Linked DNA regions of Rattus norvegicus. The protein of the gene in region 1 binds, or shares a complex with, the protein of each later gene. Links are inferred from orthologs where the notes say so. Each region holds a gene or a part of one and is shown in the gene's direction. Other genes may lie near its edges. The genes, in order: Kat2a, Supt7l, Kat14, Wdr5, Taf4, Tada2a and Tada2b.

The links.
Region 2: Kat2a (region 1) and Supt7l share a complex: the UniProt entries of both Homo sapiens proteins name them as parts of the STAGA transcription coactivator-HAT complex. The link is inferred for Rattus norvegicus from reciprocal best matches to the Homo sapiens genes KAT2A and SUPT7L.
Region 3: Kat2a (region 1) and Kat14 share a complex: the UniProt entries of both Homo sapiens proteins name them as parts of the ADA2A-containing complex. The link is inferred for Rattus norvegicus from reciprocal best matches to the Homo sapiens genes KAT2A and KAT14.
Region 4: Kat2a (region 1) and Wdr5 share a complex: the UniProt entries of both Homo sapiens proteins name them as parts of the ADA2A-containing complex. The link is inferred for Rattus norvegicus from reciprocal best matches to the Homo sapiens genes KAT2A and WDR5.
Region 5: Kat2a (region 1) and Taf4 share a complex: the UniProt entries of both Homo sapiens proteins name them as parts of the TFTC-HAT complex. The link is inferred for Rattus norvegicus from reciprocal best matches to the Homo sapiens genes KAT2A and TAF4.
Region 6: Kat2a (region 1) and Tada2a share a complex: the UniProt entries of both Homo sapiens proteins name them as parts of the ADA2A-containing complex. The link is inferred for Rattus norvegicus from reciprocal best matches to the Homo sapiens genes KAT2A and TADA2A.
Region 7: Kat2a (region 1) and Tada2b share a complex: the UniProt entries of both Homo sapiens proteins name them as parts of the TFTC-HAT complex. The link is inferred for Rattus norvegicus from reciprocal best matches to the Homo sapiens genes KAT2A and TADA2B.

The regions. Positions count from the first base shown.
Region 1 is NC_086028.1:86,131,572-86,134,841, reverse strand, and holds the end of Kat2a (histone acetyltransferase KAT2A), read left to right. Parts: intron 1-78; coding exon 79-189; intron 190-514; coding exon 515-658; intron 659-875; coding exon 876-990; intron 991-1,088; coding exon 1,089-1,125; intron 1,126-1,217; coding exon 1,218-1,281; intron 1,282-1,381; coding exon 1,382-1,466; intron 1,467-1,607; coding exon 1,608-1,801; 3' UTR 1,802-2,307; downstream 2,308-3,270. Other genes in the region: ATP-dependent RNA helicase DHX58, read left to right, coding at 2,999-3,166. UniProt on the Homo sapiens protein: Protein lysine acyltransferase that can act as a acetyltransferase, glutaryltransferase, succinyltransferase or malonyltransferase, depending on the context.
Region 2 is NC_086024.1:30,652,303-30,656,967, forward strand, and holds the start of Supt7l (STAGA complex 65 subunit gamma), read left to right. Parts: upstream 1-1,625; 5' UTR 1,626-1,700; intron 1,701-4,665. Other genes in the region: Slc4a1ap (kanadaptin), read right to left, coding at 629-1,291.
Region 3 is NC_086021.1:152,192,864-152,197,538, forward strand, and holds the start of Kat14 (cysteine-rich protein 2-binding protein), read left to right. Parts: upstream 1-1,696; 5' UTR 1,697-1,955; coding exon 1,956-2,214; exon of another isoform or gene 2,215-2,310; intron 2,311-3,951; exon of another isoform or gene 3,952-4,353; coding exon 4,354-4,472; intron 4,473-4,675. Other genes in the region: protein PET117 homolog, mitochondrial, read left to right, coding at 1,546-1,692. UniProt on the Homo sapiens protein: Component of the ATAC complex, a complex with histone acetyltransferase activity on histones H3 and H4. May function as a scaffold for the ATAC complex to promote ATAC complex stability. Has also weak histone acetyltransferase activity toward histone H4.
Region 4 is NC_086021.1:31,234,297-31,238,966, forward strand, and holds the start of Wdr5 (WD repeat-containing protein 5), read left to right. Parts: upstream 1-1,449; 5' UTR 1,450-1,730; intron 1,731-4,486; 5' UTR 4,487-4,569; coding exon 4,570-4,650; intron 4,651-4,670.
Region 5 is NC_086021.1:187,394,806-187,398,805, reverse strand, and holds the end of Taf4 (transcription initiation factor TFIID subunit 4), read left to right. Parts: intron 1-1,748; coding exon 1,749-1,916; 3' UTR 1,917-3,174; downstream 3,175-4,000. UniProt on the Homo sapiens protein: The TFIID basal transcription factor complex plays a major role in the initiation of RNA polymerase II (Pol II)-dependent transcription.
Region 6 is NC_086028.1:69,501,247-69,505,290, reverse strand, and holds part of Tada2a (transcriptional adapter 2-alpha), read left to right. Parts: intron 1-980; coding exon 981-1,087; intron 1,088-3,661; coding exon 3,662-3,721; intron 3,722-4,044. UniProt on the Homo sapiens protein: Component of the ATAC complex, a complex with histone acetyltransferase activity on histones H3 and H4. Required for the function of some acidic activation domains, which activate transcription from a distant site. Binds double-stranded DNA.
Region 7 is NC_086032.1:78,502,567-78,507,304, forward strand, and holds the start of Tada2b (transcriptional adapter 2-beta), read left to right. Parts: upstream 1-1,588; 5' UTR 1,589-1,597; coding exon 1,598-1,867; intron 1,868-3,606; exon of another isoform or gene 3,607-4,738. Other genes in the region: Ccdc96 (coiled-coil domain-containing protein 96), read right to left, coding at 1-1,003. UniProt on the Homo sapiens protein: Coactivates PAX5-dependent transcription together with either SMARCA4 or GCN5L2.

The DNA.
Region 1 (3,270 bases):
TAGAAACCCTTTACTTTCTCTCCGCAAACTCTGATCCTCTGCTGGCCACCTGACCTCCCTGCTCCGTCTCCCCCACAGGGCTATGGCACCCACCTGATGAATCACCTGAAGGAGTACCACATCAAACACAGCATCCTGTACTTCCTCACCTACGCCGACGAGTACGCCATCGGCTACTTCAAGAAGCAGGTGAGCCTCGGAATCACTGCACCGCCACCTCGGGCACCGTCTGTGTGCACAGTGCCCCGTAGAGCTCCTTTTGGTTGCCCACTGCACCCGGCACCGGTGAGGAAGCCCCGCCCCCCCTTCCTGTTTGCTCCCAGTGAAGAACAAGGCCAGGGATTGGAAGGTCCTTTGGGGATTGGAGGAGGTGAGGAACAGCCGTCCTGGAGCCTTTGCAGAGGCACACGGAGTTCAGAGATGTAAGAGGAGGCATGCTCTACACCAGAGAAGAGACTGTGAAAGCTGGAGAAACCTGGCTGATGGATTGGGTCTTAACTCTCCACCCATCTAGGGCTTCTCCAAGGACATCAAGGTGCCCAAGAGCCGATATCTGGGCTACATCAAGGACTATGAGGGAGCGACCCTGATGGAGTGTGAGCTGAACCCCCGCATCCCCTACACAGAGCTGTCCCACATCATCAAGAAGCAGAAGGAGGTACACATGTCTGCGCAGGGTTGTGCGGGTCTGCACTGGGGAGCTAACGCACTGAGACTTGTCGTACGTGTGTGTTTATGTGTGGTAGAGACACACCAGGTCGTAAGTTCCTGCCCTGCCTCTTAGAAAAAGCCAAAAGTAAATGCTGCCATTTACTGACCATGGTCTTGGGGGTGGTTGGGCCTGAGCTGGCTCCCTCAGACCCTTGCTTCCTCAGATCATCAAGAAGTTGATTGAGCGCAAACAGGCACAGATCCGAAAGGTTTACCCTGGACTCAGCTGCTTCAAAGAAGGAGTGAGGCAGATCCCTGTGGAGAGCGTCCCTGGCATTCGTGAGCAGGGGCCTTGGCTGAAAGGGCAGGAGGGCATTCTCCGGGCATGGGCAGGCATTCTGAGAGATGTTTCCCCACCCCCCCCACCCCCTTTGCAGGAGAGACAGGCTGGAAGCCACTGGGAAAGGAGAAGGGGTAAGTGTTCAGTCAAGGGGAATGAACATGGAATGGGGGGTAGGATGGGGCAGAAGAACCCAGACCTCAGACTTGATATCTCTCATTTCTAGCAAGGAGCTGAAGGACCCTGACCAGCTGTATACGACCCTCAAAAACCTGCTGGCTCAGATCAAGGTGGGAGGCCAAGGTCCTCTTGTCGGTAACAGAAGTGGGTGGCAGTCTGCGGTTGGGCAGTGAACACTGGGCCTGTCCTCAGCTCATCTGTTCTCTCTAGTCACACCCCAGTGCCTGGCCCTTCATGGAACCTGTGAAGAAGTCGGAGGCCCCTGACTACTACGAGGTTATCCGCTTCCCCATTGGTGAGGACCCTTGTACTCTCATCCCTAACACGTGCCCCAATCTATTACTGTCTGTGCGGAGTCAGGTACCCAGCATGGTGGGCATCCTCAGTTTTCTCCTTTCACCTCTTAAAGTCATGTGCCTTCTCCCTTGTGACCCAGACCTGAAGACCATGACAGAACGGTTGCGCAGCCGCTACTATGTGACCCGGAAGCTCTTTGTAGCCGACCTGCAGCGGGTCATCGCCAACTGCCGGGAGTACAATCCCCCAGACAGCGAATATTGTCGCTGCGCCAGTGCCCTGGAGAAGTTCTTCTACTTCAAGCTCAAAGAAGGAGGGCTCATTGACAAGTAGTGCCCAACTGGGGTCTGCACTGTCCACCTCTGTCTCATCAGATCCGTTTGGGTGCTCCCGGACCCCCTCTCCCTGACTCAGCGGGAGAAACTCCAGCCAGGGGCCCCAAATCTTGCAGACTTTGGCCAGCAGGCACTTACTCCCAAGCCTGCAGCTCTCTTCCCACCTTCATTGCATCCGACATTAGGGAGGTGTCTGGTCTGGGGCCAGCCCCTTGTAGAATGTCTGGTGGCCAGGGAATGAACTGCTAGTCCTTACCGAGCTATGCAGGCTGAGCGTCCTGAGCCTGGTCCAGGTGCCTGTTTCCCGGGACCAGGACTATTCAGTGAGGAGCCTCGACGTGGGAACAGCTCAGACTGGAGGAACTATGAGGGGCCTCGGCTCGTCCTACACTGTTGTCCACCTGTCCCCCGGGGTTGGGGGCAGGAGGACCATTCATTCCTTGGCATTAATCCCTTGGAGGGAACAATAAAGCTTTTTTTTTTTCCCCCTGTGTGATTATTTGGGGGGGGGGGGTGTCCAGCTCCAGACTTAACAGATTGACCCTCGTTCCTCTAGTCCTTCCCTTTCTTACCTGGAAGCCTAACTTCAAGCTACAGTGGTGCCACTGACCCCTGCTATATATGGTGGGGTGATGGGCCTGTCTGACCGCCATCCCTCACCTCTTCTGCTCCAGTAGCTTCCAGCCTGTCTCACCTGCAAAGGGAGAGCAAGAGCTTGCCCTTAATGCCTGTCTCTTCCCTGACTCCTGGACCAGGAAGCAGGCAGCCAAGGCCCGCACCTCCAGGCCTTAAGCTCAGCCCGGGGGTGGGGGTTACTGCCCCCTGAAAACATGAGGAGCTAGAGAGCCCAGGAGCAGTGAAGGCCTACCTATTCTGCCAGTATCTCCCTTTCCAGTCTAACTTTTATTTCTTTTGGTGGCTGGGCTGGGTTCCAGCTCCGTCTGGCTCCTCCCCTTGTTTCAGTTTCATTTCTCTTCATTGACTGAACTGTCAGCCTGGGGCTTTTCAGAGCTTCAGAAACCTCAGCAGAGACCAGGCTAGTCTGCTATTCATTTCCAAACCCCATCCTAATCCTGGCCAGGGTAAGTTCCAGGTAGGTATCTATGAGTTCTTGGCTAAGAACAGCCTCTGCAGCTGATTGGGCTGTCCGGCAGGAAGGGGAGGGTACGTGTTCTGAACCCTCTGCCATTCCAGAATGGAGCTGCGACCCTACCAGTGGGAAGTGATCTTACCTGCTCTGGAGGGCAAGAACATCATTATATGGCTTCCCACGGGTGCTGGGAAGACCCGGGCAGCTGCCTTTGTGGCCAAGAGGCATCTAGAGACAGTAGACCGAGGCAAGGTGGTGGTACTGGTTAATAGGGTGAGTGATCTACCCTTCCCGGAGTGGGGTCTCTCGGCTCATCTCTTCTAGACTAGACTACTGCTCTGCCAGGTCTTCTCATCTTGGTTCAGGAGATGGTTGGG
Region 2 (4,665 bases), on another chromosome or scaffold:
ATTAAGAAGTGGAGAAATTGGGGCTGGAGAGATGGCTCAGAGGTTAAGAGCACTGGCTTTTCTTGCAGAGGTCCTGAGTTCAATTCCCAGCAACCCCATGGTGGCTCACAACCATCTGTAATGGGATCTAATGCCCTCTTCTGGTGTGCATGAAAACACTCATATACATAAAATAAGTAAACAAATGTTAAAAAAAAAAAAAAAGGAGGGTTGGGGATTTAGCTCAGTGGTAGAGCGTTTGCCTAGCAAGCGCAAGGCCCTGGGTTTGGTCCTCAGCTCCGGAAAAAAAAAAAGTGGAGAAATTACTTTCTGAGACACTGCAGTTATGCAGATCTGTGGCTCCGGACTGGGCCCCTATGCTTTTGTCAATGGTTACTAGAAGAATCTTTTTTTCTCAACTAAACCTTAAAGAAACTCAGAATCCCAGCACAGTGAAGTCCCAAGATTTTTTTTTCAATGTGGAAAGGTTTAATGAGAGAAGAGAAGAAGAAGAGAGGAAAGGCCGGCCATGGGCACGTGGGGGGAAAGGGGAAGATGGGGAGAGAAGGGACAGGGACAAAGAGGGCACGAGAAGAAGAGCAAGAGAGAGCAAGAGCCCACGATTTTTATTTTAGATTTTTCTACCTACCTGAAGGATAAAGAGCCGAGTGCTGCCTCCAAAGCGAATAACGTGCCCGACATGGACTCTACAGTAAGTGCGGGGTGGGATGCGAGTTTTGTTGAGGAAAGTGCCGTGGGTACTTCCCAGATCATAGAGATAAAAGCCCTGCCCCTGATCCTCAGAGTCTCCGCTGGGATCCGACCCCCGGTGCTGTAGTACAGCATGGTACCGAGACACGGAAGGATGCTCCAGGCATATGTCACAGCTAGCAAGCCTCCCGAAAAGGCAGTAGCTCGTGTCTTTCAAGGTGCGTGTACCAAGGATGGTGCCACCCTTCAGGGTTTCGAGACTGTAAGGGGCCGTGGCTGGGCTGCCCCACGATGGCTCTTGGTACGGGGGAGCCCGGGTCGGACCGCCAGAAGCAGGAGCTACCCTCGGAGAGCGGAGCTGTTCCACCGGTGGACCCCCAGTCTCCTCGCTGTCCGGCTGCGGTGGCGAGACCTCGGGCTCCCCACATCCAGAGTCTAGCTGCGCCGTGCTACATTCCTTCTTCACATCTTCAGGAACTGATGGACTGGAGGCCGGAGCCTTACTCCGCACTGCGGGAGGCACCGGCAAAACAGGCTTCTTAAACTCGCTACTAACATCCTGAGGTGCTGGCGCTTCTAACTGAGAGGTAGCATCAGCCATCCTCAGACGGGTGCAATCTCAAAATGTGTCCCTCGGAAACCCCTACCCCTCGCCCCCCATGTTCCTGCTCACGTCTCCTCCTCCTTCTCAGGTCCCTGACGTTTCTCTGGATTGCAACGTTGGAGTTCCCCTTTCAAAACTCACAGAACTTTAAAGTTGTGAATAGCACTAGGGAGTGACAATACCAGAAAGGGGGGAGGAGCTCTAGGAGTGCTGTGCAGAACACGGACATTTTTAGGCGTTGCAACCGGATAGTAATAACTTCCTGTGGCAGAGGGCGCTTGGGAAGAAGTGCTTCCGGTGGCCTTGGCCCATTAATCAATAAACAAGGCTCCTAGGCTTGACCTAGTCGTCGACTCGGACCTGTCAGAGTCAAGGCAGCCGCGTAGACCACTCCTGAGACAGGGCGGTGAGTGTTTGAGCTTTATTTTCTGGTTCAGGGTCAGAACGTCCCATTTTTCTGCTGCCCTGTAAATCAGACTTCCCAGGATCCTGTGGTTGGCGCCTAAGCCTAAGCCTGCAGATACCGAGCAAGGTATCTTGCTCCTACTCTGCAGCTCCCGAATTTAGGCTTGATAACTCCTTTACTCCTTTTGTGAAGTTGGGAAAGAAGCAATTTCTTGTTTGTTCATTCTTTTATTATTCGTAACAAACTGTTGAAGCAGCATGTTTAGTGGCTTTACGAACCTGTGCATCGAAACCTCTTTTCTCTTTAACTCTTTGTATTTACGACGTTGGCACGACACTGCACCACAGCTTCCACATCTGAAAAATTGCAAATAGTAGTGTTATTTTTAATAAGATTGTTGGAAAATTGAACTAAGCAGTAGTTTATATTATAACTCTTTGACAGAGGCCCGGATACTATACGAAGATGGTAGCTGTAACAAGTGGGAGAATGCAGATGAATAAGTAAACTAAAGTTAAGGTCCAGGGATAAAAGCAAATGAATGTGAGAATACAAAGAAAGGGGGTGTGTTGGGGAAATGTTGGGGGATGGCCATTTCAGTTGTCTTAAAGAACAAATTCAAGTCTGACAAAGATGTAGAAGGCGGCAGAGGATTCTGGCAGAGATCCCAACTCAAAGGTTCAATTATAAAAATGTCTGATGTTCTCAAGAAGCTGAGTAATGGGGCTGGAGAGATGGTTCTGTGGTTAACAGTGCTTGCTGCTCTTCCAGTGGACCTGGGTTCCATTTCTAGTGCCCACTTCAGGACAGTTCACAACCACCTCTAATTCCAGCTCCAGCGGGATCTGATGCCCTCTTCAGATCTCCTTGGCACCTACATACACATGGAGCATACCTACATACCCAACCCCCAACAGACAACAATAAAAATAAAATCTCTGTGAATTCATGGCCAGCCTGGTCTACAGAGCAAGTTCCAGGACAGCCGAGGCTACACAGAGAAACCCTGTCTTGAAATTAATTGATTGATTGATTGATTGATTGATTAAAAATAAAATACATTCTTAGCAAAGAAAATAAACTGAGGGGCCAGTTAGATGGCTCAGGAGGTAAAGGCACCTGCTACCAAGTCTGACAACCCGAGTTCAATCCGTGGAACCCACATGGTGAAAGGAGAGAACTGACTCTCACAAGGTTTCTTCTGCTTTTCACATGCACAGACACCGAAAATAAGTAAATGGGAGAGAGAGAGAGAGAGGGAGAGAGAGAGAGAGAGAGAGAGAGAGAGAGAGAGAGAGAGAGAAGAAACTGAGTAGTATATTGTTAGAACTGAGGTCGTTTCATCCAGGAAGCCCCTCATTTACCTGCAGAGCACTGAGCTCATGCCTTTAAAATAGCAGTGTCTGCTTGTTGTTATACTGCAATGGTTTGCTTCTGTTACTCTTCTCTCAGGACAAAGATCTTACACCTTCACACTTCACACTTCATCTGGAGAAGTAAATTAAAGACAGGTAATAGGTTTCATTGAATGGTAAGCCACAGAATTTGACTTTTTGCAAGCAAAAGAAAACAAAAAAGAAAAAAAGCTTGAAAGTGTAGCTCAGTAATAAATCACTTTCATAGCATGTGTTCAGTCTTCAGTACTGAGAAGGGGGCGGGGAGGCAGGGAGAGAGAGAAAAGGAAAAAGTCTAGCAACAGAGCCAAGTGTAGATCAGATTCTGAGAAAGACTGGAGCAGCAGTTCTCAACCTTTCTAAAACTGTGACCCTTTAACTATATAAGTACAATGTAGCTGTCTTCAGACACACCAGAAGAGGGCATCAGATCTCATTGCAGATGGTTGTGAGCCACCATGTGGTTGCTGGGATTTGAACTCAGGACCTCTAGAAGAACAGCAGTCAGTGCTCTTAGCCACTGAGCATCTCTCCAGCCCATAAAATTATTTTCATTGCTACTTTATAACTTTAATTTTGCTACAGTTCTGAATCCTAATGTAAATATCTGATATACAGGATATCTGATATTCCTTATGAAAGTGGTGCTCCCCAAAGGGGTTGAGAACCACTGGACTAGAGGAAGAAATACTTGTTAGAAGGCAGCAGAAGTCTCCCAGACTTCTGGGAGACAGCTCAGTCTATGAAATGCTTGCCATTGCAAGCGTGAGGATCTGAGTTCAATCCCCAAAACCCATATTAAAAAACCCAGGCATAGGTGCATGTGCTTATAAACTTAGCTTGTAAGGAGAGGAGCAGAAACGGGCAGATCCCCGGAATTTACTGTGAAGGGGGCGGTTCTGATGCTAAGGTCTTGTTCTCCAATTGGTTCTTGATTTGTCAGTACAGGAAGCTGGGGGCCAATTGCTGGGCGGAAGGAAGGTACAGGTGGAACTTCCGGGTCCCAGGAGGAAAAGGGAGAGGCAAGGAAGGGGAAAGGTTTTACTGCCATACTTTGGAGGAGGAAGAAGGGAGCAACTGTGTGAGGTCTCGGGAGAGCTGGGGCCTGTGGCCACTGCTCCAGGCGGGTGGTCATGGATGTTTGGCAGGGGCTAGGTGGGACTAGCCACTGAAGTTCGGGGCAGGTGTAGAGACAGAGATAAACATTTTAATAAGGGTATGCTTTTCCAGGTGGGAGACGGCAACTCCCAGCAACTATGCTGAGAAGGCAAGTTATAAAGAACAAACTGGGTGTGTTTTATTGACAGACTCAAGGGAAGATGGGAAGGGGCTGATCCCTAGAGATCCTGTCTGAAAAGGAAGACAGACTGTTGCCTGAGGCTGAGGCCTCCACGCCCTAAAGAATGTGTATTTGCTCATGTATATGTCCGAACTTGGGAACATAAGGCTGGATTAAAGGTTCATGAATGGCACAGCACAGATTGGAAAGCACCTATTAGTAATTTTTTGTTTTGTTTTTTGAGATCTGGTTTCTCTGTGTAGACCTGACTGTCCTGGAACTCACTCTGTAG
Region 3 (4,675 bases), on another chromosome or scaffold:
TATAAAGCCTTTCTTGTTTTCTTTTCTCCATGTTATGCTATACCCACATGCACCTTCATTTCTCTATATACAAATATCATTGGTTAGACTCTGCATATGAGAGAGAACTGGGATTTCTTTTTTTCTGAGAATGCGTGACCTTGTTCAGTATTATACATTCTAAGTTTATCCATTTTCCAACAAATTTTTAAACTTTTTTTAAAGCTGAGAAGTATTCTATCATATATATAGATATGTAGATGTATATATATTTGTGGGTGTGTATGTGCACACACCAGATTTTCATCATTTATTCATCTGTTGGTGAACAGCTAGGTTGATTCTGGTTCTTTGTTAGGCCAGTCTTTAAAAACAGAGATAGGTGGGAAGCAGAGGTAGTCAGATCTCAGTGAGTTTGAGGCCAGCCTGGTCTACATAATGAGTTCTAGGACAGTCAAGATTACATAGAAAGATGCAGATGCTGACTCTGAAAAGAAAAATGAACTGGAGAGATGGCACTGGTTGCTTTTGTAGAGGAACTGGGTTTCAGTCCAGAGCTATCTGTAGCTGCAGTGCCATGGTATAGGTCACTCTCTTCTGGCCTCAACACTGTACCTGCATAACTTGTAGCCACAACACCCATGCAGATAAAATAAAATTTAAAAAAAAATAATAAAAATATTCTTTTTTTTTTCCTTTTTTCTTTTTTTTTCGGAGCTGGGGACCGAACCCAGGGCCTTGCACTTGATAGGCAAGCGCTCTACCACTGAGCTAAATCCCCAACCCAAAAATATTCTTATGAGGGATTGGGGATTAGCTCAGTGGTAGAGCGCTTGCCTAGCAAGCACAAGGCCCTGGGTTCGGTCCCCAGCTCCGAAAAAAAAAAATTCTTATGAAGTGTCTGTTTCAAATATGCCCCTCTGAGCTACAAAGTATAGAGTATTTGCAGTAGTGACGGAGCAGACCTTTTAAATTCACATTAGGCACCAGGTTCACATTCCGAGATTCTGCGTCTAGTGTTTTTCAAGGTAATGACCCCTGAGGAACTTATCATTTAATGGTAATAGTCCTTTTTCTTTCTTTCTAATCTAATTGATTGAGAATTTTATATTTCTGCCTTTACATGATAAAGTCCTGTATTTTCTCACACCCTTACTGTTCTTTTTCTTGGTATTTATTGTTTGTCTTAGGTAACTGCTTATAGTTTACAGTTTTTCTGTACTGATTCATCAGATTTTAAAAGTATCACTTTCCAATTAAATTTATAAAATTCAGCATAGTGCAGCCTTTTAAATTAATTTTTTAAAATCAATTCCCTTTAAATTTTCTGTGTTCAGGGATTTCTTAAAATGTGATGAGAAGCCACTTAAGTATTAACATAACACATTACCAGATTTACTTGGTGGTTTCTTTATTTACATTGTACAGAAGGTTAAAATAGTAATTGGGTATTTAGAATTGGAACATTTCGAGTGTATTTTGGTGGCACTGTTATTTAGATTTGAAGGCACAGGATGGGAGCCACCTGTTCAGGGGGTAACTAAAATCTGCTTCTTGTGTTTTTAGAGGCTTCGTGACGGAGTGATCAGAGACATTGAGAGGCAGAATCAGAAAAAAGAAAACATTCGTCTTTTGGGAGAACAGATTATTTTGACTAAGCAACTTGAAGCAGAAAGAGAGAAGATGTTGGAGAAAGGATCTCAAAATACCTGACTTTGAGAAGCCGATGGGGCAGCGCTGAGTTGGTGTGTGTAACTGTGGGTGCGGTGTGTGGTAGAGAATAGCTAGTGAGAGCTGCCCCCAAAATCACTATCCAGTTACACTTCATTAACTGAAGGACAGTGGTCCTGTCTTCTGAATTGCTTCTTTTAAGAGTCTGTCGTGTGTGGAGAGAGTACTTGGGGGCAAATGCTCTTCTGAAGGTCTGTCTGGGGGATCCCTGCAACAGTGCCTGTCAGCTTAGGAGTGCAGGGGCGATGGATAGTAGCATCCACCTGAGTGGGCTCCTAAGTCGGCATGATGATGAAGCCACGAGAACGTCTACCTCGGAAGGGCTGGAGGAAGGTGAGGTGGAGGGAGAGACTCTCCTAATTGTGGAATCAGAGGATCAGGCATCAGTGGACTTATCTCACGACCAGAGTGGGGATTCCCTCAACAGCGATGAAGGAGATATATCATGGATGGAGGAGCAGCTGTCTTACTTCTGTGACAAGTGCCAAAAGTGGATCCCAGCCAGTAAGGAGCTTCTCGATTCCTTTGCTTGGTTGATCCCTATGTGATGGCTTGTTTCCAGTCTGTGAAAAACACTAATAAAATAGACTTGAATAAAAATATAATTATTATATTTATTATTAGTAGTCTAGTTTACCAAATGTAAATTTATTCCAGACCACTTTTTTAGTTCTTTAAAACAGTCATTCATTTTATATGTATGTGTGTGTGCCCGAGTGTATGTCACCATGTGCATGCAGTGCCTGCAAATGTCAAAGAGACATCAGATCCTGAAACTGCAGTTACATATGGTCCTGAGCCACTGTGGCCACCAGGTATTGAGCCTGTATCCTCTGCAAGCAAATTAAGTTCTCTTACTTGCTGAGCCATCTCTCCAGGCCCATAAAACCACATTTGTATTAATAAGAACTGTCTACCATTATCCCATTGTTAACATTCTGGATGGTAGCCCCCCACCCCCCAAAAAAAATTAGGAATCCTGTATTAAGTCATTGGCCATATTTTTCTAAGAAGATTATGCTGTGGGTTGGGGGACACATTCTGGTGTCAGTATAGAATTCAGGTTCTGTGAGTTATTTGACATTCGTGGAGTACTGCTGTTGTCTCCTGAGGGAAGGTTGGGATCAGCAGTCCAGTGGTGTTTGGTTGCTGCCTTTAGCCCAGGTTTGTTTTCTACCGTGGAACTCGTTCATCCTGGCAGGAGTCACAGCGCACAGATCTCGAGGTTCCAGCTGCCAGCTCCGTACGTAGCATGCCTCGCCAGGCCCTCTCGACTCTTAAACAGTGTTCTCCATTAGGCAAGAGATGAGCAAAGGCATGTGCCCTGGAGGGTTGCTTTGTACAAGAGTTCATAGCTAGTGTAACTCTTAATGAAGTTGGTCATTTTCTGGTATGTTGAAACTTTTATTAAAAATGAATTAAATTGTTCAAATAGCTACTGTAAATAGGTTAATAATAGCAGTGGTTAGAGAACAGACCTAGAATTGACTGTTTAGCTGGTGTTTGTTTCTCAGCTGTCTAGTAAAAACTGGTTTTCCCATCGTCCTCACCGGACAGATTTTTTTTTTTTTTTTCGGAGCTTGGAACCGAACCCAGGGCCTTGTGCTTGCTAGGCAAGCGCTCTACCACTGAGCTAAATCCCCAACCCCAGATTTTTTTTTTTTTTTCTTTTTCTTTTTTTCGGAGCTGGGGACCGAACCCAGGGCCTTGTGCTTCCTAGGCAAGCGCTCTACCACTGAGCTAAATCCCCAACCCCCCAACCCCAGATTTTTAAGGGGACTTTTATGGTTGGGCCCTACTAAGGTTTTTAGGGAGATAGGGTGGACTTTTCATTCTTTACAACTCTTTGATTCCTAGGATTTTGTACCTTTTTGTTTTCTCCCTGGAATATGCACCTGGGTGGCTCCCTTGCACATCTGTCCCTCAGGCAGCCCTTTCTTCTAGCTAGTGGCTGTTCCCCCTGGGCCCAGTAGACCTCTATTCCTTCCTAAATGGGGTTGAGCATCCCTTTCTCTGTCCTTACTCTGCCCTGGGATGCAAGGTACATTCTGCTCTGGAGGTTTTCATGTTGCACAATGCATCAGCATCACCTGGGAGCTTCAATGCAGAGCCCAGCCCCCACCCCAGAGACTGGAGCATTCCATAAGGGGGTGGACCTGACCTTAGGAAGGACATAAAGCCCAGCCACCTGGGTGGTTCCGATGCTCCACGGAAATCTACAACCAGTACAGTCCTGTTTACCTGTGTTCTTTGTGTGGGTCCTATCTGCCTTAGACATTGCATATCCAGTTCGAGCCTGGTGTGGCTGGCGGCACCAGCTGAGTATTCCCTGAAAGAATGAAGATGACTGGCCTAGAGGAGTCAGGAATGTGACTGCTGGGAGATCCAGCTAGAGCAACCATACCTGCTTTTCCAGGACCTTCCCCCTAACAGCTAAGGAGCCTTAGGTCTGGGAGAGGCAGGCACCTGGCTGCAGAAGGGGAAACAACCTTTTTCTCTTTCTCTCCTCCACTACTCTCCTGATGGCTGCAGAAGAAGAAAGATCTACCACGGGAAACTCGGAGAGCTAGTCGGTTAACTGAGCTGTTGGATCTCCACGGCACGAGGCAAATCCGTGATGTGACTTTTTGTTTTTTCTCCTAGGTCAGCTGAGGGAACAGCTCAGTTACCTTAAGGGCGATAACTTTTTCAGGTTTACTTGTGCCGATTGCTCGGCAGACGGCAAGGAGCAGTCCGAGAGGCTGAAGCTGACATGGCAGCAAGTGAGTACAGAGCTCTTCTCTGGGCACGTCAGGCCGGGTGGCCATCCAGAGTGAGGCGCTTTAGAGCGGTTTGCGGGGAGGGCGCTTTACAGTTCACAGTGGACATGCGCACACAATGTGTGGACGGAAGACTTCGCGGTTTTAAAACAAGGCTGCTAATTTAGTGAGTTCTCGAGACTCTTAGTCAATTTCATTTATGTCCT
Region 4 (4,670 bases), on another chromosome or scaffold:
TGAGATAGAGCCTTTAAAATGGAGCTTCAGAGCCATATGGAAGCTCAATTGTAGTGGATGCTGCGGCTGCCTGGAATGTGAGCGATGGACACCTACACTAAAGAACAAACTGCCTGGTTCCAGATGCATGCATAGGCTGGGGAGGACTCGGAGCCCCTGTGTTAGTGACACTTGCCTTTCCTGTCCACAGTTTTGTTTGTCTTCTAAGTCAGGTAGCTCCTCTCTTGTTAGCATGCAAGCTCCCTTCTTTCCTGCCTTCCCTGGACACGCAGGGGAGCTTTTCCTGCGGCGATAGTTCCTAAGATCTTTTTCTGAGTGTGGGGGTGCACAGCAGAGTCTCTTTGTGGCCCAGCTTAGAAGAGAGGCAAGTATGTTCAATTTGAGCTGTGGTTTGCAGTGGCAGGAAGCCCCCGCCCTGCGGTAGGCAGGGGAGACCGCAGGCGCTCCGGACTTCCGGACCTCGTGGACGTCCACCAGTGGCACCAAGAGGGTTTCCTAGAGTCCAGGGCAGGCACAGGCCACGACAGGCAAGCTGCTATTAGCTTGGCGACATAGCCTGGAATTTAACAGGAAAGGCACATAAGCACATTTTTACCCATCTTTAACTGCAGAGAGTTCCGGTCTGCAGGCACTGAAAATTAGTGGCGGTCAAATAGGAAGCAAGAATCATAGGTGGGCCCTTTAAGGCGCTCCGTCTCCTCTAATTTTTCTGACCCTCGTCGCCGCCCGTTGCCCCGCCCCCTCGCGCACGCGCAATCCCTCCCGCCTCCCGCGCCGCGGCCGACTGGTCCACCAGATCGTCTGCTCTCGCGCGCAGGGCCAGCCGAGGCGACGCCAGAGCGCCCGGCCCCGCCGCCCCGGCCCCGGCAGGTAAGGGAGTGACCCGGTCCTGCGGGCGCGAGGGGGGCGGCGACCACGAGGGCCCACGGGCTTCGGGATCCACAGCGCCGCACGTGTTCCGTGGGCCTCCGGCCGGGCCCGGCGCCGCATTTGTGGCCGCGCCCCGACCCCGCCGCCCCTTGTGGCCGCCACGGCTCGCTACTTCCACTGCGGCCCCTGCTGCGCCCCTAGACCCGTAGCCCTGCGAGCTCCTCGTGGCTCACACCTCAGGCTGGCGTCCCTGGGAGTGGGGACACCCAGCTAGCATCTCTCAGGTTTCCTTGGCCACTTGGCGCTTTCGTGCTGCCACCACAACCTTCACCCGTGTCCTAGTGCAAGTTTCTACCTGACGAGGGCTGACTGGTCAAGTGGGTTTTGAGCACTGTCTGGGTCAGCCAGGCAGTTGAGAGTACAGTGGTGTGAAGCCAATGGTACTAGGACCTAGGGGTATCCAGTAGTCCAGAGAGGATGGGTTGGAGCTCTTTGTTGGGTTACCTACTGCACTCACCTGAGTGACTGGACCATTCTGTCTTCCCATACTTGTGTACTCAGTGTCTAAGGCGGAAACAAGGAATCTGCATTTGATTGGAGGGAGACTGATGGCTGCTGCCCTTCCATGATCACGTTCCCTGTAGTGTAAAGCTGCGGTTGCCAGTTAACTGCCTCCTTTGTGGGCCGTGGAGGCCAGCTCCAAACCACCTGCTGAGGATCCTGCTTAACACACCTCCCTCCCAGAGCTGTCCTCTTCAAGTCCTGCTTTCCGGTGACCTTAAAACAGAACACCTGAGTGCTCTCTGTCTTGGACTCTACCCAGTGGAATTGGAAATTGGTTTCCTTTGAGACGGTTTCAGGTTGGTGCTGGCTTCACATTTAACTATGAATTCCCGAACCTCCTGAATGCTGCGAGGTAGATTGGCTAATGCTAATGTTCTTTCTTTTCTTTTTCCTTTTTTTTTTTTTTTTTTTTTTTTTTTTGGTTGGTTGTTTGGGGCTGTGAACTTATTAGAGCTGGGATCAAAGTGTGGTGCACACCCAGTGTCTTCATATGTTAATATTTGGCTTCCTGAAAGAATCAGTTTATAAAGGGTGGGATGGGATGGGCAGGGTTGGGTATCCTCGTGCTTGTTTTGCAAGGCCATTCACCCGAGGCTAGGTGAATCTCTTTATATGCTAAAAGACACTGCTTAGTTCCTCGAGACTTCCTACCCCAGAGATCTGCCCTGCTCCCTTGGCCTTTTATTTCCCTGAAGCAGGGAGATGTGGTAGGACTTTCTATCTCATTACTTAACATCTTCTCAGCTCCTCTTGCTACCTGTATGATCCACAAACATGTTGGCTCTGGGAACTCATGGCCATATAGTTGCGTTAAGCAGCTTCAGGTCAGGCCTGGGAGTTGATTTATGCCTGTTACACCAACCATACTGCGGCTATTGAGGCAGGATTTTGAATACTGGTGCATAGCAAGACCCTGTCTCCAAAAAGCTAAAAACACCAAGCAGCTGGTATTTCCTGGGCACAAGAGCTTTGCTTTGTGGAGGGACCCAGGCAGGGGACCTACCCCTAGTTGGATCCTTGCACCTGGGCTTGAGCTACAGCAGAATTTGACCTTGGTGGAGCAGGCTACACCTGTGCCCTGTGTGGTGGGTGTTACTGTTCCTTCCTAGGATTGAAGACTGAGGCTTTGGTCTCTTTTGGTGTTGTCTCCTCTTAGTCTCCCGTGGGGTCTGTGTGAGGTGTCAGGTTTAGTCTCAAAGCTAGGCTGTGCATCGTGATTTCTCCTTACACTGATGGCTGAGGGATCATGATGGCCAGTGATGTTTGCATGTCTTAGGAGCGCTCCATTGGAGGAGCACTAACTCACTTCCCAGTCACGGGATGGCCTGTAAACTGTAGGAAGTTGTTGCAGTTGCACTGCTGAAGGGAGTAACTGCTTTCCCTCAGCTCTGCAGCTTCTTCTGGTGCAGTTTCTCTGATGTTCTTCCTGCTACTCCTCCTGGGAGGTTTCATATGGGGGCGGTGTCTACTTTGCTGTACTCTTTCTTGTAGCTCTTTTTATAGTACTCTGTGCAAGAGTCCTTGAGCTCTGTACGCTCTTAGCATTGTAGAAGGCAGTTTGCAGCCTGTGAGGTCAAAGGGAGCCGAGGTGGAGGCCACCAGGTACAGACAAGACTCCTGTGTTTCCTCAAATTCTTTGGGTGTATTTTAGAATTTGCCTGAGTTTCCAAACTTCTGCACAGAAGGTCTACTCTTGTCACTTGGTCTGTTGTTTCTGTTAGAAAGCCTTTTAAAAACTGTATCAAAAGGCCCTGGGTTCGGTCCCCAGCTCCGAAAGAATAGAAAAAAAAAAAAAACTGTATCAAGGAATCTTTGAAGCAGAGCTCACATTCCGGTACACATCTGTATACTGCAGTGGGAAGCCTTCTTGAAGCTTAAGTCTTAGGCTCACAGAAGGTTCAAGAGTAGACCATCCATCACACAGAGCACCTGAAGCTGCAGCCTCGGTACAGTTATCCCCAGCTTGGAGCAGTTTATTTGTTGTAGGGTTCAGTGCTGCGGTCATGTTCTCCTTTTTACCCATTTTCTTGGGAATATTTTTATTTTTATTTTGTTTGAGTACAGTGTAGCTGTCTTCAGACACACAGAAGAGGGCATCAGATCTCATTATAGATGTGGTTGCTGGGACTTGTACTCAGGACCTTTGGAAGAGCAGTCAGTGCTCTTAACTACTGAGCCATCCCTCCAGCCCTAGAGTCACTGTTTTTTTGTGGGGGGGTGAGGTGGTCTTATGCATGTTAGGTGAACACTCTTCTATGAACAGCTCAGTCCCAAGAACCTTTTTGTTGTTTTGAGACAGGATTTCTTCTGTGTAGCCCTGACTGTCCTGGAGTTCACGCTTTTTTTTTTTTTTTTTTTAATATTCCTTCCTCTCTTATCTTTTTATAAAACACAGCACAGAGTATGCCTTTTTTGTGCGTGTGTTTTATAAAAATAAGGAGAGAAGGAATATGTTTGGTGGAGGAGAGATATGGTGTGAGGGAATGGTGTGGGGGGAGGGGGTGCCTCTGCAGGCTCATGCGGAGACATTCCTTCCCCTGAGGGACCAGCCACACAACAGTCAACAGTATATTGTAGAGTTTATTCAGGGCATGGGAGGGGAGTTGAGAGGGTAGCAGAGACCGAGAAAGGCAGAGATAGAGTTGAGGGATGCCAGCCATGAGCACATGGAGAGAGAAGGGTGAGGGGAATGGGGAGAGAGGAGTAAGGAGGGAGAGCAAGAGAGTGGAGTTCACTCTTTAGACTAGGCTAGCTTCAAACTTGTAGATACACCTTCCTCTGCCTCCCGAGTACTGGAATTAAAGGTGTGTACCACCACACCAGGGCAAATTTTATTTTACTTTGGTTTTCCCCTCTTTATGTAAATCTGTGTACCTTGTGCATGCTGTCTACAGAGGCCAGAAGAGGGTGTCAGATTCTCTGAGCTGGACTCACAGATAGTTGTAAGCCCACAAGTGGGAATCAAACTTGGTCTTCTGGAACAGCATTTGGTGAGCCTAACAACTGAACCATTTCTGCAACAACCTTTATTAAAGAGAGGATTTGTTTATAGGTCCCATAGAGTACGGGTTAGCTGACGGCTTCTTCCATTGTGACTCCCTCTTCACGGTGTCCTGCCCTGTGGGCTTCAGAGCCATGGCCACGGAGGAGAAGAAACCAGAGACAGAGGCTGCAAGAGCACAGCCCACTCCTTCCTCATCAGCCACACAGAGCAAGGTATGTCCCACCGGGACCAC
Region 5 (4,000 bases), on another chromosome or scaffold:
AGCCCTGAATGTGCTCAGAAGTGACGTAACATCCATTGTGCTGTGCCTCAGCCTGCACTTTTGATTTTACAACTGAGTCACCTCCTATTGCTTATAAGGCCCACAGAACACAATCGAGAATCTGTGTCCTGTTTTCACCTGACTGCTGTCCTCAGGTTTGAGCAGTGACAGCTGTCCTACCGGGTTGGAAGCCCAGGCTGGTGTGCTTACATGAAGCTATGGGCCTCATTAATGCTTGTCAGAAAGTGTAGGTCCCAGGTTGATCCTGTTTGTCTCAGTTTCTAACTTTTAGAACTTGTTCAATATTGTGCCTGAGATGAGTGTTCCCTGCTCCTCCCAGCCCTGTTGTTGGCTGTTGAACCTAAAAGTAGAGGCATGAACTACAGCCTGGACACTGGCCACACACCACCCTGCTGCCCAGGCAGAGTCTCAGTGGGCCAGGGCACCATGTCATTGTCACCTGGATTTCTCTCTTGGGCCTGTAGTCAGGTGATTTAGATCAGGTTTATTAGCAAGTGCAAGAAGAGTGAAGTCACTGCTGAAAATGGAGAGGCAGTTTAGACCAACCTCAACCTGCTACAGGGCTCCAAGACCTGCAGACTCTGCCGGTCTCAGCAGCCCCCTCTTGCTGCTTCTGTTGGAGACCCTCCTCTATAGACTTTCTTCCCAGAAACTGGTTTGTTGCTCCTTTCCAGATCACCAAGACCCTCTAGAAGGAGGCTCATGGGTATGCCGGCCCAAGCACAGCCCAAGGTGGCTTTTGGGAGACCAACGGCTTCCCTCATTCCTACCAACTGCACATTTTCACTGTGGCCCTTTAAGAGGCACCACTAATCTCAGGGGTGAAACACTACTTAGAGCTGTTGCTGCCAACAACATCCAAGGAAATTGTCCACCCGAAACGACATGGCTACTAAGGTGATGGTGGAGGCCAGGGCCACAGATGGACAGTGGTGTCTCCCCGCATCTGAGGAAAAGTACCCTCTCTTCAGTTGGACTGTCATATGCATGAAGAAACTGTGGCCAGGTCATGCAGGCACACTTGTACCTGACCTGCCTGCCAGCTTCCTATGATTGCCGTCTACTGACTCCTGGGCCCCTGTGGCCTCACGAGTAGCAGGTGGTACTTGAGTTTCCTCAGCTTTGACTGTGGAGGCATAGTGAGGATGCCACTGCAGCATGGTTACTTGAATACACATGAGCAGTTTAACCAGCAGGACACATACCTGGTTCTCTACTGAGTCCATGGGGAGCTTGTGGTTTGAGCCCAGCAGGGGTCAGATGGAGGCAGTGGTGAGATCAGCCAGCTAGGGGAGCAGAGAACTCCCTTCCCTTGGCCGTGATCACCGGCAGTCGGCCTCCCCAGCTGATCAGCAGCCCACCCTGTCCATGAGTTCAGGCCTAGTGCCTCTGGCAGCCAAGGAGGGAATGGCACAGTCCAAGTGTGCTCTTTGGTCTCCCCTCGTCTGAGCCTCTTGGGCAGTACTGTGCTGTGTGTGTGGGGAGTGGGGGCACTTCAGAGCCTTGGCTTTGTCTTCTCTCCCACTCAGGACCAAGTCTGTGAGGACACTGGAGCGGGTGGGTATCCTGAGTGTGCTGTAGAGTGGGGACTTAAGTAACAGGACAGTGGAAGGAAGGGGCTTGTCCATGCCTGTTTCCTTCAAATTCTTGGGATACTTGAATCTTCCTCCGCCTCCTGACTGTTCCACCGTCACTAATGCACGTGTCTTCTCCCTTCTCCTCACTAGGGCTCAGGCCCAGGCGCAGCAGTCCCAGGCGGCTCCGGCGTGGGAACCCCCAGACAGTTCACACGGCAAAGAATCACGCGGGTCAACCTCAGGGACCTCATATTTTGTTTAGAAAATGAGCGTGAGACAAGCCATTCACTGTTGCTCTACAAAGCATTCCTTAAGTAACAGGATGAGCCGGCGTTTCTGATGGGACGCTTGCGGACGTTTTTATATATTTGCAGATTACGCCTTTTTGTAACAAGCAAATGGGATATTGTTTAAAAACAGCCACCTCTTTACAATGGAGCAGTTTTATACTCCTGTTTATAAATCAGCTCTTCAGTGCGGCAGAAACCGTGTCTGCAGCAGAGAGAACACAAAGGCCTGTGGATGCTCTCACAGGACAGCTGACCCGAGCTCATCCTCGGCTGAGTGGCCTTCTTGCCAAACAAGCCATATTTAAAGACTGATGGAAGCGCTTAGCAAATAATTAGCAGTTGCTCATCCTGTGTGCGTTTTGGTTCCGCTCACCCTGACTCACCCGCTAGGTGTCCGTCTACAGCCGATGACCTCATCTCTTATTTTACGTTGTAGCAGTCAGTTGGCGAAGCAAACTGATTTTTTAGACTATTTATCACCCCTCCCCGCCCTGTCCCTTACCTCCCTTCTATATGAAACTCCCCAGGATCATAACCTCCAAGCAGGGTCCCATTTCTGCTAATGGAGGCCGGGGTGCAGCACCTGTACAAATATGTTTTATTTGCTGCAGTTTGGAAGCTGTAAAGTGGAAGGAAATGAGAACCTTTTCAGCATAAATATATTTTACTTGCACTGTGTTTTTAGCTCAGAGTGAAGACTTAGATGAAATAAAATCAGAGTTGAGAAGAATCAACAGCAGACTGTTTCTCAGTGTGGATCAAGTGTTGGAAATGGTTGGTGTATTTTGTCAGTAATTGTACATAATTTTTGGCACATAACATAAGATGGCTATGTAAACTATAATTATTTTGCTAAGAGACTGTATGCAAGCTGTGGCCAACCTTACAGGCGTCCAGAGCAAAGCCCCTTCTTTGTACCTATTTTTTTATTACAAATATACTAATTGGTTCTTTATATTTTCAGAGGTTATTGTATTAAATTGTCTATGATAGTACTTTTATGACTGTAAATACTTGGCTTTCTCCGTGTGGATTCTCATGTTAGACTTCAATTCGCACGTGTGAACTGAACGCTGATCAGTATTTTTTATGACACCCAAGAACTGTTACACCTTTCATTTTATCTTTTAGGAAATCCCCGTCTTTCCATTTTTTCATGTAAATTTTGCACAGTTACTTGTTAATATGTAAATATTTTACTTTCAGAAATGAAGTTTTTAATTGCTATTGTTTTATATAGGATTGAAAGAAAATTAACTCCTTTATTAAAAACAAATTTATCTGTATTTGTCATGCCTATTTTTCCCATTTCCGAGTCTCTCTCTGGTCTTTCTGAATCATGGACTTAAACGAGCACAGGCCCCCTTCTGGACTGGCCAGTCCTTTGTCCTGTTCACCCAGAGGACACCAGAGATGCTGTGCTCTTCCCATTCTAGGCCTTATCCTGTACACCGTGGGGATGGGTATAGGGGTGTGTGATAGACACCCCTGTAAGCCTGGCTGCCGAGGCGGGGTGTGAGCTCCGTGCCACACTCAGGCCTGCAGCCAAGTTGTAATCCTACACTCCAGGGACGAGAAAACAAATGGTTAGAAAACTTGGAGCATGTTGTTAACAGTAGCACCAAAACAGAGCACGTGTCGGGTGCATGTGGTGAAGGCTACGTACGATAGTGTTCTCCTGTTGCTGTAGAGACTAAGGGAAGTGACTGAAGGAGACAGGGTTTATGCTGGCTCAGAGTCTGTCAGGGCGGGTGAGTCAAGATGGCTGGAGCTTGAGGCAGCTGCTTTTCCATCCAGAGTCAGGAAGCAGGGAGTTAACACTGCTTAGCTGCTGTTCTCCTCTTAATCCAGAATCCCAGCCATGGAATGATGCTACCCACTTTAGGGTCTTGGTGAAATCAAGATAAACACCCACAGGCATTCCCAAAGGCCTGTGTCTCAGTTGACACTGATTCTGCCATGTTGATGACATCATAAGATCCTTACGCCAGATTTGAGAAGATCTGCCCAAAAGTCTGTAGGTCGAGACCCCAACAGGGGATACATATCAGACATTCACAGTATAATTTATAGTGACAATTTGGTAATTTTGGTTTCTTTCAAAAACACAGA
Region 6 (4,044 bases), about 17 Mb from region 1:
AGGAGTTGAAGGTCGTAGATGGTGACTAGCCTGGGTTACGTAAGGTCCTGTCTTAAAAACAGCAAAAGGAATAAGCTTCAGGCAGGACATTCTTTTTTTTTTTTTTTTTTTTTTCTTTTCTATTTTTAGGAGCTGGGGACCGAACCCAGGACCTTGTGCTTGCTAGGCAAGCGCTCTACCACTGAGCTAAATCCCCAACCCCCAGGCAGGACATTCTTTACCCTGTCAGTTTTCTCCATGACTTCATTGTAAAGCAAGTGGCTGTTAGAGCAAAGAAGGAAAATGCTGTTATAGAATGTGATAGCTGAACAAAGTAAGTCCCCTCATCTCCCTCCCTAGGCCTTTGTCCCACATCCCAGGGGCAAGCCAGAGAACAATAGGTTGCTCTCACTTCAGAGAGGCAGGATTTAGGGCAACCTGGAACAAAGGTATCTTCCGACTTAGGGCTTTGGAGAATTTATATGTGCCGATTGCCTTCCTAGTTCAGAACAAGAGCCTGCATGCAGCAGTTTGCCGTTTCCTTGGTATCTCAAACCTAGACACAAAGCTTAAATCCTAAACTGGAATTCCTCCAACTTGTTAAGAAAAAAATTCAAACTTGCAGAGAACATGAAAGACCAGAGCAGTGACTGCGCCTGTGTGCTGCTGCCTGGGTAGAACAACTGTTGACCTTTTGTCTGGTTTGCTTTGTATGTGTGCACTGTGTGGGGAATGTGCCTGGTTTACTTTTCCTTGTGATCAGGTGGGCTCTGTAAAACTTTAAAACTTGTGTTTATGAGTTTCTCTGCAGGGGCCTTCTCTGCTTAGTGTTTGAAGCAGTAGGTTCTCTGGAGGAAGGAACACGCCGCCGTGTAATGGACAGGGTGGCTCTTGTTTGTATGTGTGCAATAAACTCATTTTGCTTCCTTACGTCTGTAACATAGTCAGTCTTCAGCCATTTGTAGAGTTCTAAGCTGATGTTTGTTTTCTGTATGTTCCAGATGATCCATCTGATAAGCCACCTTGCAGAGGCTGCTCCTCCTACCTCATGGAACCTTACATTAAATGTGCTGAATGTGGGCCTCCTCCTTTCTTCCTGTGCTTGCAGGTAACTCCCTGAGGAGAGTGTCTCTCCTGGTCTGTTTTGTGGATATAGTAACTCAGTAGCTTAGGACCACCCTGCATGAACTCTCTTCCTACAGGTAGTCTTCCCTGTAGACTTTACCGGGGAGGTCAGGAACGGATGGTGAGACAGACATGACTTCCACAGAGCTGCACAGCTCAGTGCTTACCACTTTCCGGAGTAAACTGAAAGACTTTGATTACAGGATTCCTAGCTGGCAGGGTGTTCCTTTTGACCTCACTGCTTAACTTATTAGAGTGGTCTTGGTATAGATGACAAGGCAACAGAGTGTTTTGTGGGCTATATTAGGAGTAATACTGGTTAGGTGTGCCAGGTACTGCTTAGAGTACCCTACTTTTATCACCCCTAAATCATCACTACAGCGCTGGGAAGTGAGTAAGTAAATATCTCCATTTTACAGATGAAATTCAGCCACAGTCTAAATAATTTGCTCATTGGGATTATCAGGACTTACCCACTCTAAGACACTTGATTCTAAGACACATTCCAGACATGGCAGAGATGGCTCAGTGGGTAAAGTGCTGTGCAAGCTGAGACCTGAGTTTGAATTCCCAATGTCTGTAAAACCTGAGCATGGTAGCATTTGCCTGTAGCCCTGTGCTGGGGAGGGCGTGGAGAAGCTAGGAGGAGCTGAACCACAATCTCTAGGTTCAGTGAGAGACCCTGTCTCAAAAAACAAAGCAGAGAGTGATAAATGAATATCCCCAATAGTGGCCTTCGTAAGGGCGTGCATAGGTGTGTGCACCTACAAACATACGCACACACACACCATTCCGTTTTAGACATGTTAAAATGTAAAAAAGTGATTCTCTTTGAGTTATAAGAATATATATTAGAATCCTAGCACTCAGGTAGAGACAGAGACTGGCAGATCTCCGAGTTCGAGGCCAGCCTGCTCTACAGAGTGCCAGGACAGCCAAGGCCACACAGAGATACCCTGTCTTGAAAAACCAAAAATAAAAATTTTTTTAAAAAAGATTATATACTGGGCATGGGGAGAGAATGGATAGGAGGAGGGAAGGTGAAACCAGCCTGGACTGCATAGCAAAATTCTTTTCAGTATACCAGAACCAAGAGAAAAAAACCCAAAACAATGGCTTTAAGACGACAGTATTCCATCAGGTTGATAGTGTCAGTAGAGGCCTGTAATTTCAGGCCTTGGAAAGTAGAGACAGGAAGAGGAGGACTTCAAGGCCAGACTAGACTACTTGAAGTACATGAGTTCTTGCCTCAAATAAGATAAAAATATATAAAAATAAAAAAAGAGCCTCTTCAAACCATCTTTTGTCTTGTTTTTTATTTTAGTTTATTTATTTACTTTTGGTGTTTGTTTTTTTCTTGCCTCAAGTTCATTTGTAAAAACAGCATAGGACACTGGTCACCTACAGATAGTGTGCAGGCAGGTGTGTCACAGTGGTCCATCTGTCTTCACATTGGCAGGAGGCTTTTCTATGGGGCCTTCACAGGGGCCTGGGCACCTTTGGCAGTCTGAGCTGGAGCCGAAGCCTGGCCCTTATCTGGAGCTGTGGCCTCTGCCTTGGTTTGGACCTTGGGCTTTGATTGGCAGAGCCTACGACCCTTGGCCATGTAGCTTCAAATCCACTTCCCAAGCTTGGGGTGAGCGCTGAAAGCCAGACGGCTGAGTTTGCAACTGAGGCCCTTTGGCATCTTGGGCTTATGGCCTGAGGCTTCACAAGGGCATTGATGGCCTCTGCACACACTTTCACTGCCTTGGCATTGTTGGCCTGCATCTTCTTCAGGCCTTTCTTGTTGTGCTTCTTGGCAAAGCTCATGTTCCCCAGAAACTTGGGATCAACCCCCTTAAGAAATTTGTATCTTTGTGACCAGGGATTCTTGATGCCATTTCCATGCTATTTGTGGGACACTCTGTGCGAGTGACCGTGCGTGCGTGCGTGCGTGTGTGTGGAGTGGTTCTTGGACTTGGCCATGTCTGCACGGCCCCGCAGCATCTGGGACCAGAAGAGAAAGAGCTACTTTTAGTGTTTTAAGACAGGGTTTCTACACAGCCCTAGCTGTTCTGGAACTCACTGTGTATGTAGACCTCTCTGGCCTCAAACTTGCATAGATCTTGCCTCTGCCTCCCCAAGTGCTGGGATTAAAGGCATGTGCTATCACGCCTGGCTTTTATTTTTATTTTTAAGATTTTTTATTTATTTTACGTGTATTAATTCAGTGTAGCATCAGATCCCATTACAGATGGTTGTGAGCCACCATGTAGTTGCTGGAATTGAACTCAGGGCCTATGAAAGCAGTCAAGTGCTGTTAACTGCTGAGCCCCCTTATTTTGATTTTTGAAGACATTGTCTCTTGTAGCCTAGCACCCCTAGAACTGGCTGTGTAGCTGAGTGAGGATGACGTTGAACTCTTAATTCTTCTAGCTCTACCTCCCAAGTGCTGAGGTTGACTCTGGTGCTGTGTGTGCTTAGCAAGTGCTCTACCCACTGAGCCTCATCCCCAGCCCCAAGAAAATACTTTTTTAAAGTAGCTTTTAGTAATTTAACTTTTTTTTTTCCACAGTGTTTCACTAGAGGATTTGAGTACAAGAAACATCAGAGTGATCATACTTACGAAATAATGGTAATGATGACATTGATGGAAATTTTCATTCCTTTTTCAAGTATTTAGACTGAGAACTAAGTTTCTTTCTCCATGTATCTCTGTCCTTTTCCCTTTTCTGAATATGGTAATTATTTAGTAGCCGTTTTAGTTCTTTGTAACCTATTAAAATACTTAAATATAAAAATGGCTGGAGAGATGGCTCCGTGGTTAAGAGCACTAGTTGTTCTTCAGAGGACCTGGGATCAATTCCCAGCACCCACACGGTGGCTCACATCTGTCTGTAACTCCAGTTCCAGAGAATCTATACCCTCATACAGACATGCAGGCAAAATACCAATGTA
Region 7 (4,738 bases), on another chromosome or scaffold:
AAACGTTGTAGCGCTGATAACGGTTACGCTCCACCAGCAGGGAGTGATACTGCTCTACCAGCTCGCCCCGCAGCTGCTGCTCTTGCAGCTTCCGCACATCCGCCGACCACTCAAACTCATCAGCGTCCGCCTCTTTCTCTACTTTCTCTACTTTCTCTTCCCCTTCTTCCTTCTCCTCTCCAGGTTGAAGATGCTCTTCTGTGCTTTTCTTGCGCGGTTCTCCACCTATCACCTCGATCTCTTCACTGTCTCTCTTCTGTGGCCCCTTTGCTTTCTCTTTCGCAGCTCGTGGGGCTGGGGCAGCCGCCTCCTCAACAATCGTGGTCAGAGGTAGAGAGGGCCGGAACCGTGACTCCTTCGTCTTCTCCCTCTTCCCCTTCTTCTTCTCCGACTTGTCGAGTTCCTCGTCCTCGTCCTCGTCCTCATCCTCGTCCTCGTCGCTCTCATCCTCATCCTCGTCCTCGTCTTTGTCCTCCGGCTCTTTGGGCTCCGCCTCGGTCTTGGGCTTGGTCTGTGGCAGACTCTCTGGCTCTTGGGATACCGCCTCGCTCGCAGCCTCTACTGCCTCGCCCGCGACCTCAGAGTCCCTGGGACTTTCCGGGGCCTCAACAGGCGTGTATTCATGCTCGTCTGAAGCCTCTGCTTTTAAGCTGTCCGCCACCGGCTGGGTCTCGGGCTCGGGCTCGGGCTCGGGCTCGGGCTCGGGCTCGGGCTCGGGCTCAGGCTCAGGCTCAGCCTCCGGCTCCGGCTCCGGCTCCGGCTCCGGCTCCGGCTCCGGCTCCGGCTCCGGCTCCGGCTCCGGCTCCGGCTCCGGCTCCGGCTCCTGCCCCGACTCCGGCTCCGGCTCCGGCTCCGGCTCCGGCTCCGGCTCCGGCTCCGGCTCCGGCTCCGTAGGGTCCGCCGGAGTCAGAGGTTCGGAGCTAACCTTAATCTCGGGCGGCTGCCTGATCAGGCCTTCCTCGGCTCGGCCTTCGCCCTCGGTGTCCCCGTTTTGGCTGTCCATATTCGACCCGCTGGCCCGGGTCTGAGCCCCGCTGATGCCTGCTGTTAGGTTTCCCGGGGCAACCAGGGCGCGCGGTGGGCCCCGCGATTGGTCATTTGCTTTTCCTTTCTCTCCACCTCCCGGTAATATTAGGCCAATGAAGATCTGCGAACAGGTGAAGGGAGGCGCTAATTGGACGCTGGCTTGCGAGAGGCGTGGCTCACGTGGCCGACTTCCGGTCCGCGCCCCGCCGGCTGACAGGCTTAGGGGGGGGCCTTGCGGCTTCTCCAGTCCATGAGGCAGCGGGAGGCGCCCGCGCGCAGGCGCAGAGCAAAAGCTCTGCTGTCCGCGAGGGGGCGCGCGCGGGGCGCCTGCGCGATGCGGCGGGGAGACGGCGGCGGCGGCGGCGGCGGCCGGGCCGGGCCGGAGGGCGCCTGCGTGCTGAGGCGGGACGCGGCCCGCCTGGCCGGCTCCGGCGGCGCCTGGGCGGGGGCGGCCGTGGCAGCGGCCGGCAGCGGCGCGGGCGCGGCGGGCGCAGCGAGCCCGGCAGGCGGCGGGGCGCTGACGGCCGGGGGCGCGGCGGCTGCGGGCCGGGCGGCGGGCGAGCGGGGGAAGATGGCGGAGCTGGGTAAGAAGTACTGCGTGTACTGCTTGGCCGAGGTGAGCCCGCTGCGCTTCCGCTGCACAGAGTGCCAGGACATCGAGCTGTGCCCGGAGTGCTTCTCGGCCGGCGCGGAGATCGGCCACCACCGCCGCTACCACGGCTACCAGCTGGTAGACGGCGGGCGATTCACACTCTGGGGTCCTGAGGCAGAGGGCGGCTGGACCAGCCGCGAGGAGCAGCTGCTACTGGACGCCATCGAGCAGTTCGGCTTCGGCAACTGGGTGAGCGGCGGACTATGGCTAGGGGGAGGGCATGGCTGGCTGACTCGGTGCACGCTGCGGAGGGCCGCAGGTGGTCAGGCGGTTCTGCCCAGAATGTGTTGGTCACCAGCGGCCACACAGCTGGTAGAGCAGGGCCTTGACCCATGGCCCCGACCCGGAGCTGTCTGCCCTTCACACTCGTCCTCAAGAGGTGTGCTTTGAACGCGGGTGGAGGGTAGGCCCTGTGCCTTGCCAGGCTTATCCTTGTGTCCGATGGCATTGAGCTAGATCCCACGGTGCTTGCTGAGTTCCCCTGATACGGTTGCGTTCTCCTGAGCATAGTGGTGGGGAAGGCCAGAAGCCTGGGCTGCCCATACCGCCTGCACTAGTCTGCATTCGGGGCTTCGTGTGCTTTCTGTAGGTGTCAGCATGTGCCCTGTGCTAAGGTTCTCTATGAGTAGAAGTGTCTTGCTTAATTCTTAGTCTCCACAGAACCCAGGACACGGTGTGATGGGTGGGCAGTAAAGAATGAACAAAGGCGTCTTCCTGAGGAGGCATGGACCCTGGGGTCTGCTTTCTAGCTGTCAGGTTTCTGTAGAGGTGGCTTGCTGGTGACAAGAGCCTTCGTGTGTGCCAGCCAGATAGTGTGCTGGGCTCCTGGGTGTTCTCTAGGGGTATCTAAGGAGTTCTCCATTCTATTCCTCACCTGTGTTAGGGAAGAGATCTGGCTGCATTGTCACCATTGCCTCCAGGAATATGTAGCCTCTTTAGGCTTTCAGAGAAGCAGGGAGCTAAGCACGACCCTGTCCTGTCCAGAATCTTCCCTGGTATGTTAAGACCCTCTGACTCTAGCTTCTCCAAGCTTCCCCTGCTCCAGCCGACTGCCCTCCTGTTCCTGATCATCATATGAGTGGCCCTCTGGACCCACTTCCCCACTTAGGAAGGATTCTACTCCACAGATGTCGTCCCAGTGGCAAACACCATGGCTCCTGCTCTCCAAAAACAATGGGTTACTTTGTCTGTAAGTGGTGTTTATTGGTGTGTATTGAGCATTTGCTTTGTACAGATCAGGCAGCATGAAGGACCTTGAAGAAGAGCCTCAGAGCAGAAAGTGTGGCATTCATTTGCTCTGTTCCTGGAGCTTGTCACATACCTGATGATCCCTCTCCGCCTGATTGCCTGTGAAGACTCAGTTACACACAGAGCCAACCTAAAGCCTTCATCCACATCTAGTTGGTCAGTGGTCATCTGTTTAAAAAGATGTGCAGAAGGTAGCTGCTAATTCCGGCCAGAACCAGATGCGGATTACCTCCTGTGATTACTGCTCATGGTTTACCTGCCTCTTCCTTCTGTTTCATAGCCCTTCTCACATACAACCATAGGGCTTTAAAAGCATAAGCAGTATCTCTTTGGCCCTCAGCAACTTGCAGTACTGCTGCTTCTTAAATTACACTACAAACAATGCCTGCAAGGCCTGACAGTGTCTATGGTTCTCTGTGAGCTCACGCTTACTGCCTTGATCATTTTTCCTTTCTTCTGCCTGAGGTGCTCTCACCTCAAGACTACTTACTGACTGATCTTTGTCCTTGCATGTCACTGCTTTGGAGGGCCTTTCTTTCCTCCGCAGCACTTATTTCCAGAGTGTTAATTCCAGCCCTGAGCTTACTTTATCTCTTGAAATATGGGCTGTAGTCAGGGACCCCTGCAGAAGAGGAGGTGAAAAGAACATAAGAGCCAGAGGGGAGGAGGGGAGGAGGGGAGGAGGGAAGATACCAGAGGGGAGGAGGGGAGGACACCAGGAGAGCAAGGCCCTCTAAATGAACTGAGCACAGCTCAGATGAACTCAAATGAACAGAGCTGAAGCAGCAAGCACAGGGCTGGCATGGGTCTGCACCAGGCTATCGTGTATGTATTTTACTTTTCAGTTTAGTATTTTTTATGGGACTTCCAAGTGTGAATGGTGGGTCTCTGATTCTTGTGCCTTCTCTTTTGCTTCTGTTGGTTTGCTTTGTCCAACTTCAATGTTATGGTTTTTGTTCTATCTTATTTTGTTAAAAAGGAAAGAAATCTTGGTCTGTAGAGTCTGTACCTGGGCTCATGTTTGTGCCCCATTCATGTAGTACAGTCAGAAGCACACAGCACTCAGGAACTAAAGCATGTAAAACGTGGATGAATAAACAGGCTAGATGGGGAAGGCCTCTTCTGAAGCAGTACTTTCAGGCTTGAAGGCCAGAGGAGCTTAAGTTAAGATGCAAGTTCTCATAAGGCCCAGTCTTAGCTTTGGAAGGAGTAAAGCCCAAGGGGAAGAGCCTTGGGGCTTGGCTGCCTGTGTGTAGCACATGGACTGCTACCTGCTGAAGCAGCAGGAGTCTCAGGGTCAGGCTGAGAATGCAGCCACTGAGCCTCAGGAATAGGAGGCACTGTGACCCCCTCTATCTGTGCTCTCTTAGGCCAGTTGCTTTACTCCTCTGAGCCTTGTTTTTCTCCATCAAAAGCACTACATCTTGGATTTGTGACTCTTTTCCGAGCTTATATCCTGTTACACTGAAGCATGTCTCACTTTGGACCTGTATAGAACCTATGCCAGTCTACGTTGTACCCTTTATGTACATGTCGTGTGACTTGCACAAGCAGCACCGTGGGGGTGAATTTATGGTCTTAGTTTGCAGTTGAAAGACGGCAACTTTGAGAATAAAAGCTACTTGCCAAGAATTCCATAGCTTTGCCCCTGATAACTAGGTGTGATTATAATTTGGACCTCCACTACAGCACTAAGAGCATTAAGTAATGTGGTTGGAGACCAGAAGCTTACTGATACAGTAGTGGAGGTGCAGTACCACCAGAAGGCTTTCATACCAGCCATAGCTAAGACCTGTACCACAGAGAAGTCAC